2 linked regions of the Ovis aries genome follow. The protein of the gene in region 2 binds, or shares a complex with, the protein of the main gene of each other region. Links are inferred from orthologs where the notes say so. Each region holds a gene or a part of one and is shown on either strand. Other genes may lie near its edges.

Region 1 (3,500 bases), on a different chromosome or scaffold from region 2:
CCACCCTCTCACCCCTGAGAACGCCCCTGGGTAGAGGTGCTGTGTCCCTGTTTGAGAAGAACCCTTCTTGCTGCTGTCCATCAGCCTGGTTCCTGGCTGAACTGAACTGTGTCAGCTCAAACTCTTTCATTCTACATCCCAAATGCAAGGATTCTGGGAGGTTCACAACTTGGTCAGTATTAAGAAGTGCTGTTTACAACTAAGAGTACATCATTATGCTAGTAACATGAACTATTCCTGAAATAAAACACAGCATTGGTATCCTTTGTTATCAGTCTCTTCAACTACCCTCTTCACTTTAATGTGACATTTACATTCTTCCACTTCTTATGAGGTTCAAACTGCATTCCAGTTCATGTACATTCCATTCTCTGCTTTTAAATGAAACAGTCTAAAATATTTTACTGGACTCAGAAGCCAGAGGCTGTTTAGAAATTAATAAAAAATACAGTAATTTTCAAATTTTTATTTCAAATTAATATTTCAACTTAATATTACTGTCATACCACAGTAAAACATCTAAAATGAGTGGTCTTTTTGAAGTTCTTAAAAAAGAAGAAGAACCAAACAAAAAGCTGCTTACTTGATTGTCTGCAGAAACCTCACTCTGTCGTTGATCTCATCTGGGATCTTACTGAGAATTTGTTTAAGTGCTCGTGCCTTTTCATTTAGGTCCTGGAATTCTGGCTCCGGTCGTTCAATCATATACTCTGATGAAATAAATACATAGTAAAAAAACATCATGCAACTTGCTGCCAAATTCAAGTCTAAGAATTTCCAATGTGTTGGTCAAGGAGGTGAGTGGGAGATAAAAGGCTAGAAAACTAGGAAGAACGAGGTTGCAAAGCAGAATTCATTACAGTTTAACTTAGTTCAGTAATTGTATTAGGGCTCCCTCCAAGTAAAATATCAGAAGATAAAAAAATGAACATCTTCAATATGGGATAAATGGAAATTCCATGAAATCTTAGAAATAAATAAAATTTAAAAGGAAGGCCCAATCAAATTTTTCAGGCCTCTCAAGTTACATTTCACAAGGAAACAATAAGTAATGACATTTGTAACAAATACAATGGCAATATGTATCTGACAATTGTGAATATGAGTTTAATTAAAGAAATCTCTACATTCAACATACAATGGCTCCTTACATCAAAACTCCAAACCTACTAGTCTTCAGCACATTCTTGAAATCTCACTTAAAACAAAAATACCACCATACAAAGTCCAACATACAGCTTGGCATCACAAAACAGCAACTTTGGTAAGGAAGTTTAGTCAGATGCAGCAAAGGCAAAATTTCACAACCAGATCCACTGTAGACTCGGAAACATTACAGCTCTACCAACTCATCAATACAACCTGGCCTGACAGGCTGCAGGTGCTCAATCCAGAATAATAATGAGGCCTTTCTCATAATTTACAGAATCAGTTAAAACATCTATTTTTGTTCTCGCTTAATAAACATGAGAAATTATACCTCTATGTTTTTCTAAATTAGAGGGAAAATGACTACTAAATTTCAGTGAAACCCAGGGCTTCCTAGGTGGCTCAGTGGTAGAGAATCCATCTGATAATGCAGGAAATGCGGCAGACAATGGGTTCGAACCCTGGGTTGGGAAGATCCCCTAGAGAAGGAGATGGCAACCCACTCCAGGATTCTTGCCTGGAGAATCCCATGGACAGAGGAGCCTGGTGGGCTACAGTCCCTGGGGTTGCAGAGTTGGACATGACTTAGCGACCAAGCACACATACATTTCTAATTATTTAAAAAAGCAAAAATGTGAAAAGAAGCCAAAAGGATGATTAGTAATATTGTTCTCACAAATCTATATTTGAAAAAAAAAAAAAAACCACAAACATGCTATACCAAAGTTTAAAAAGAAGAAAATTCATTACTTTCAAACTGGTATCTGCATAAAGTCAACACAGAATAAAACCACCATTCCAAGGAGCTTGTCTCTTCATTAAACTAGAACTCATCAAATGTATTAATTAATAGGAGGGAAATAAACAAATGCTTTACTTCTAGTAACTCAATCTGACAAAAAATAAAAAGAACTACATGTCTATTTTATATGGGTTCCTCCCTGCACCCCCCCATTTTCATTTCAAAATAATAACAATAACACTAACAGTAAGAGGGAAGGGAGGAGAAGGGGAAGGGGAGAGGAAGGGAGGGGAGGAGTCACTTTTATCAAATAAGGAAGATTTGGAGGAGCTTTTCAGCATCTGTAAGAAAACTAAACAAGACTTTTTGATTACCTTCTACATCATCAGCTGCCATTCGAAGAAGGGATTCTGTGAAGTTGACTTCTACACTTTTTTTCTCTAAAATTTTCATAATTATGTCTTGCGTGAGTCCTGGATTTTCTTTTTCAGCCTATAAGAAAGAGAAAGATGGTTTTGAAATACAGAAACTGAATCAACATTTTAAAGCCAAAACCTAACCATTCAGAATCTCTTAGGACCTCCTTAAACTGATCAACTTACAAATAAGGGCAGAAATCTTTGCAAAGCAAGCGTCGTGATGCCATTCACTTATGTGTGGGGAAAGTTTGTGCATCCACAGATTACTACAGTCACGATCCAAACTTCCATCTGAACATAATGTATTTAACATTTCCTACTTCTCATTTATACTCTCTTGCAATCAAACTAATAACAAACATAGAAATAAAGAGTAAATATATGTACATGTATATATATACATATAGATACAGTTTTTCAATTACTTTTTTCAGTAGTTTAAAAACACTGAAGATTTTTAGCTCTTTTTCATTAAGCAATATTTCAACTTGAAAATCAAACAGTAACTCATCTCACCAATTTCTTTCCTTCAGATTCTCTGCATTTAAATTAACAAGCTGTCAGGAAAAACAACAACAACAAAAAAACCAGGATTCATTTTGGAGGTTTTATTGAAGCTTTATGATCCCTTAACTATATTCTCACACAGTGATATTCATTTCCTACTTTATTTTTGCAGCAAGAATATTATCTCCTTCACTAGCTTTCAGAAAACCATTAATCCTTTTACTATCTCCTGAGCTTGTTTCACTAATGAGCTTGCATTGATTCTGTTACTTACATTCCCTAGGGCACTAAAATCTTCTAGCTATTTCAAGATTGAACATAAAAAGTCTTGAGTTAACCAAAGTTAGTTTTCAAGATTTGGATTTTCCCTTGTAATTCTGCCCCATTTTATTATTTTCAAAAATTGTTGTACTCACACGGTGTTTCTTTTAGGACGCCTGCCAATTTTAATCATTATGCTGATAATTTCCTCTCTTTTTACCCTGGTACTACATAGTAAATATGATCTATCAAATGGCAATCTATTTGCTTCCTGATGGGCCAAGTTATGTTAGCCTATGCCTCCTCAAGTCTGGTATCACTGCCGTTTTAGCTTTCTTCAGCTCTTACATTATAACACCTTGCTTCTTATTAGATTTCAAGTACCCGAAACTGAAAGGTTATGGAACGAAAGCAGAAAAGGA
Region 2 (3,500 bases):
CTGTGGCCTGAGTTAAGCCCATTATGTACAGCAAAGCAGTGGTATGAACCAAATCCTCAGTGGGAGTTCTGACTCTGACCTGGAAAGCGATATAGAAAGAACTCTGGATGGATTCCAGATAACGGGGCAACTAAAATCATAGGTTCTCAGGGCTGGAAGAGCGCTCTGAGGTCATCCAGACCAGCTCTCTGATCCTTGAAAGAGGAGATTAGGTCTCGGAGAGGGAAAGTAACTGACCCAAGGTCCTGCAGTGACTCATGAACGCAGCTCGGGTACGAAGCTCTTGTCCTGCCATCCTCCACAGCCAAGGAAAGATAGATTTTGGTTAACTGGAAAATGATCTGGGCAAACCGTGTATTTTCTTGCTGCAGGGGGAAGAGGTGGTACCAGAGACACCATGCGAAATCCTCTACCAGGGCATGCTGTATAGCCTCCCCCAGTACATGGTAAGGAGACAGCCAGGTCCGGGCTGTGAGAGCTTCTCAGCTGCGAGGGAGAGATGACAGAGAGCCCTTTTAAGCTGAGCCCTCTGTCACTTGAGTTTGCTTCCTGAGCCTTCACCCACCGGGTGGTGTTCTCTGACACTTCAGAATTCTGATCTCCCCTTGGGGCTCCTCCCAGAGGAAGGAGGACTTGTCTCTACCTCCAAGTCCTTGTTTGGGAGAGGTAGGGAATGGGGTAGGCTCCATGCAGGATGCACCAGGGGCCTCTCCTGAGTAAGTGCCTTAGTTCCTCCGAGGTGGCTTCCGGTGTCCTAATTGGCCTCAGTCTCCCAGGGGAGGATGCTGATGGTCTGAGGGAGAGGAAGGAAGAGGGTGGGGGAGGGGTGGATCTTGCCTTTCCCTCCGACCTAATCTCTAGGCATTGCCCCCACTCTCTCTGCTCCTTCTCTCATCCTCTTTGGAAAGAGCAGTCTTGATGCAGAACAGTCTGTAAGCACATCTCTTCAGGCTCTTTAGCCTCCCAGGCAGGCCTGTCAGGACTGGGCACCAGTTTGCCCTTCTGGAGGTAGGGAGCTTTGGTTATTGAGTGAAGGACTTGGAGCAAGGATTTCAAACACTTCTCTTAGAGCTGTTGAGTTGTGGAAGGATAGCCTTGTTGAATGGGGTAGATTTCCTCTTTTTCTGCTTCCCAGATTGCTCTGCTTAAGATTCTACTGGCTGCAGCCCCCACCTCCAAGGCTAAGACAGACTCTATCAATATCCTGGCAGACGTCCTGCCTGAGGAGATGCCGTAAGTGCTTCAGTGGGGGCAGCTGGTAATACTCACTCTCTTGTCTGCAGAGTCTCTCTCATCCCTGCCTCACCTTGTTAACACTTACAGGGATTGTCTCCAAGGAGATCTCTCTGCCACCAGTAGCCCCTTTCCACTGCAGTGCTCTCTCTGTGCTCTTTTGAGCCCAGAACTGAGGGTCTGGAGGGCCACATCACTGGCTGCATGTGTATGTGGGTGGACATTGCTAAGAGACAAGCTTGCCAAAGGCGAGAGAGACACAAAGGTATCAGAGGAACTTTTTTCTCCAGACAGACTCACAAGTGGGAACTCTGGAGGTTTCCTAGCACAGCTCAGGTGTCTCAGGTTCTGGCTTACTGGTGTGTATTGTATGTGTCCCCGTAGGCCTCTCTCTAAGGCCACCCTCTGCACTGACTCTTCCTTTCCCTGTTGTAGCATCACTGTTCTCCAAAGCATGAAGCTGGGCATCGATGTGAACAGGCACAAGGAGATCATTGTAAAGAGCATCTCTGCCCTGCTCCTGCTGCTCCTCAAACACTTCAAACTGAACCACATCTACCAGGTGAGCAGCTCAGAGCACTTCTCCACACCCCTCAGGTGTCCTCCAGGTCCTGCCGTCCAAAGGAAGAACACAAGGGCCTTGGAGTCCAGCAGAGCATCGTTCTTTGTCTTACGGAATTCAGATACGTGTTGCACAAGCTTGGGGCACAAGGTGGGGAATTGTCCTAGAAAGTTGCAAATGTCTGTGTCCTTTGAACATTATCCAGGGGTCGTAGGTAGGAATCCCTAGCTTCTTGGGAATATGCCCAGCCAGCTTTGAAGCAATGGAAGACAGGACTCAAGCATGCCACCAAAAGAGGGGGTGGGGAGTGTCGAGCATACTTTTCTGTATGTGAAGCACTGTTCTAACATTTGAGATAGACTCCTATATAAGGCATCCTCTAGCTCGTAAGGGCTTTGAAGTTTTATAAAGGATACAGATGTAAAGTAGGCAATTATGGAGTGATAAGTGCTGTGTTACAGGTAAGCATTGGCTGCCTTGGAAACACCTAATCCAGCCTGAGGTGGAGAAGCTGTGACTCCTAACCTGAGTCCTACAGAAAACTTGTTAGCCAGGGTGCAGGAGTTGTCAGGGAATGATGGCAGGAAGCATTTAAAGCAGAAAAGCTGGTTTGTGAAACTCCTGAGGGGAGAGGGCAAAGTACCTTTGGAAACTAATCAAACGTTTCTGGAGATCTGCATGAGGTAGAGGGAGACGGGGAGCTCTGGTGGTAACGCAAAGCTGGAGAGGGTGGTGGGGAGTAGAAAGCGAAACCTGTGCCAGCGCACGGTTAGGGAGTAATTACACTGTGGCCAGCTCTCCGAGAGGTTCATCTGGGATCTCATCAAAGTCTCTCAACCCTGCGAGGTGGGTCTTACTTTACTCCACTGAGGCTAAAAGAGGTTAAGAACCTGCCATAAGAGCAATGTTTGCCATGCCACGGAGTTTGGACTTGGTGCTGTGGGTGTTGCCAAGACACAGGAGAAGATGAGGGCAGTGAGTGAGTGTTCTCTGCGGTGAGACATGGAGAGGAGGTGGAGCTTCTCACTCTTGCACAGAGGCTCTGCCCCATTCCTCCTGAGAAGTCAGAACCGAGCTTGCTGCTAAAACAGCAGGAGCTCCGTGCAGGGAGGCCCTGCAGAGTCTGTGTCCATGGCAGGTGCATCTGTACAACCTGGATATGTATCCACTTCAGTGCATTCAGAGACATCTTGTAGTGTGTTAGGGTACCCCGAGGACGCACACCTCTACCAGTGTTTGCAGAGCAGCAGCAGGGCTGGGAGGAGTAGGGAGGGATGAGTGAGAAATAGTGTTCCTAGTAGAAAGAGATCTGCCTATGTGTGCTTCTGTCTGCTTCTCTTGGTGGGCAGTATGTGGATCAACAGCCAGACAGGTGGGTGGCTTGATGGGCCTTGCCAGTACATGTCAGTGTGTCCTGACAAGGCTACAGACGTGTCTCAAACTGAAAGATGTTTCCCATCACTTGACAGTAGGTTTGTATTGGCTCCTGCACCTGAGGCTTTGCAAAATACTCTGGGTCAGCTGCCAGGGAGAAGATATTTGAGCAGAAGAGAGAACTGGGCAACACAAGCTGACTCCTCACCTCTAGCCATACACCTTGGGAGAGGGCAGCTAAGTGTGCTGCCATGGCTATTTTTTGGTGATCAGGAATCAGTAAGAGCTAAAGGAATTAAAACACTGCAGTTCTGTGCTTTTTCAACCAGTT

What was found. The genes of interacting proteins can lie anywhere in the genome.
Region 1: STRIP2 (region 2) and PDCD10 share a complex: the UniProt entries of both Homo sapiens proteins name them as parts of the core of STRIPAK complex. The link is inferred for Ovis aries from reciprocal best matches to the Homo sapiens genes STRIP2 and PDCD10.

What each region holds. Positions count from the first base shown.
Region 1 is NC_056054.1:220,413,142-220,416,641, reverse strand, and holds part of PDCD10 (programmed cell death protein 10), read right to left. Parts: intron 2,384-3,500; coding exon 2,266-2,383; intron 711-2,265; coding exon 584-710; intron 1-583. UniProt on the Homo sapiens protein: Promotes cell proliferation. Modulates apoptotic pathways. Increases mitogen-activated protein kinase activity and STK26 activity. Important for cell migration, and for normal structure and assembly of the Golgi complex.
Region 2 is NC_056057.1:95,051,012-95,054,511, forward strand, and holds part of STRIP2 (striatin-interacting protein 2), read left to right. Parts: intron 1-371; coding exon 372-446; intron 447-1,135; coding exon 1,136-1,233; intron 1,234-1,668; coding exon 1,669-1,945; intron 1,946-3,500. UniProt on the Homo sapiens protein: Plays a role in the regulation of cell morphology and cytoskeletal organization. Required in the control of cell shape. Calmodulin-binding scaffolding protein which is the center of the striatin-interacting phosphatase and kinase (STRIPAK) complexes.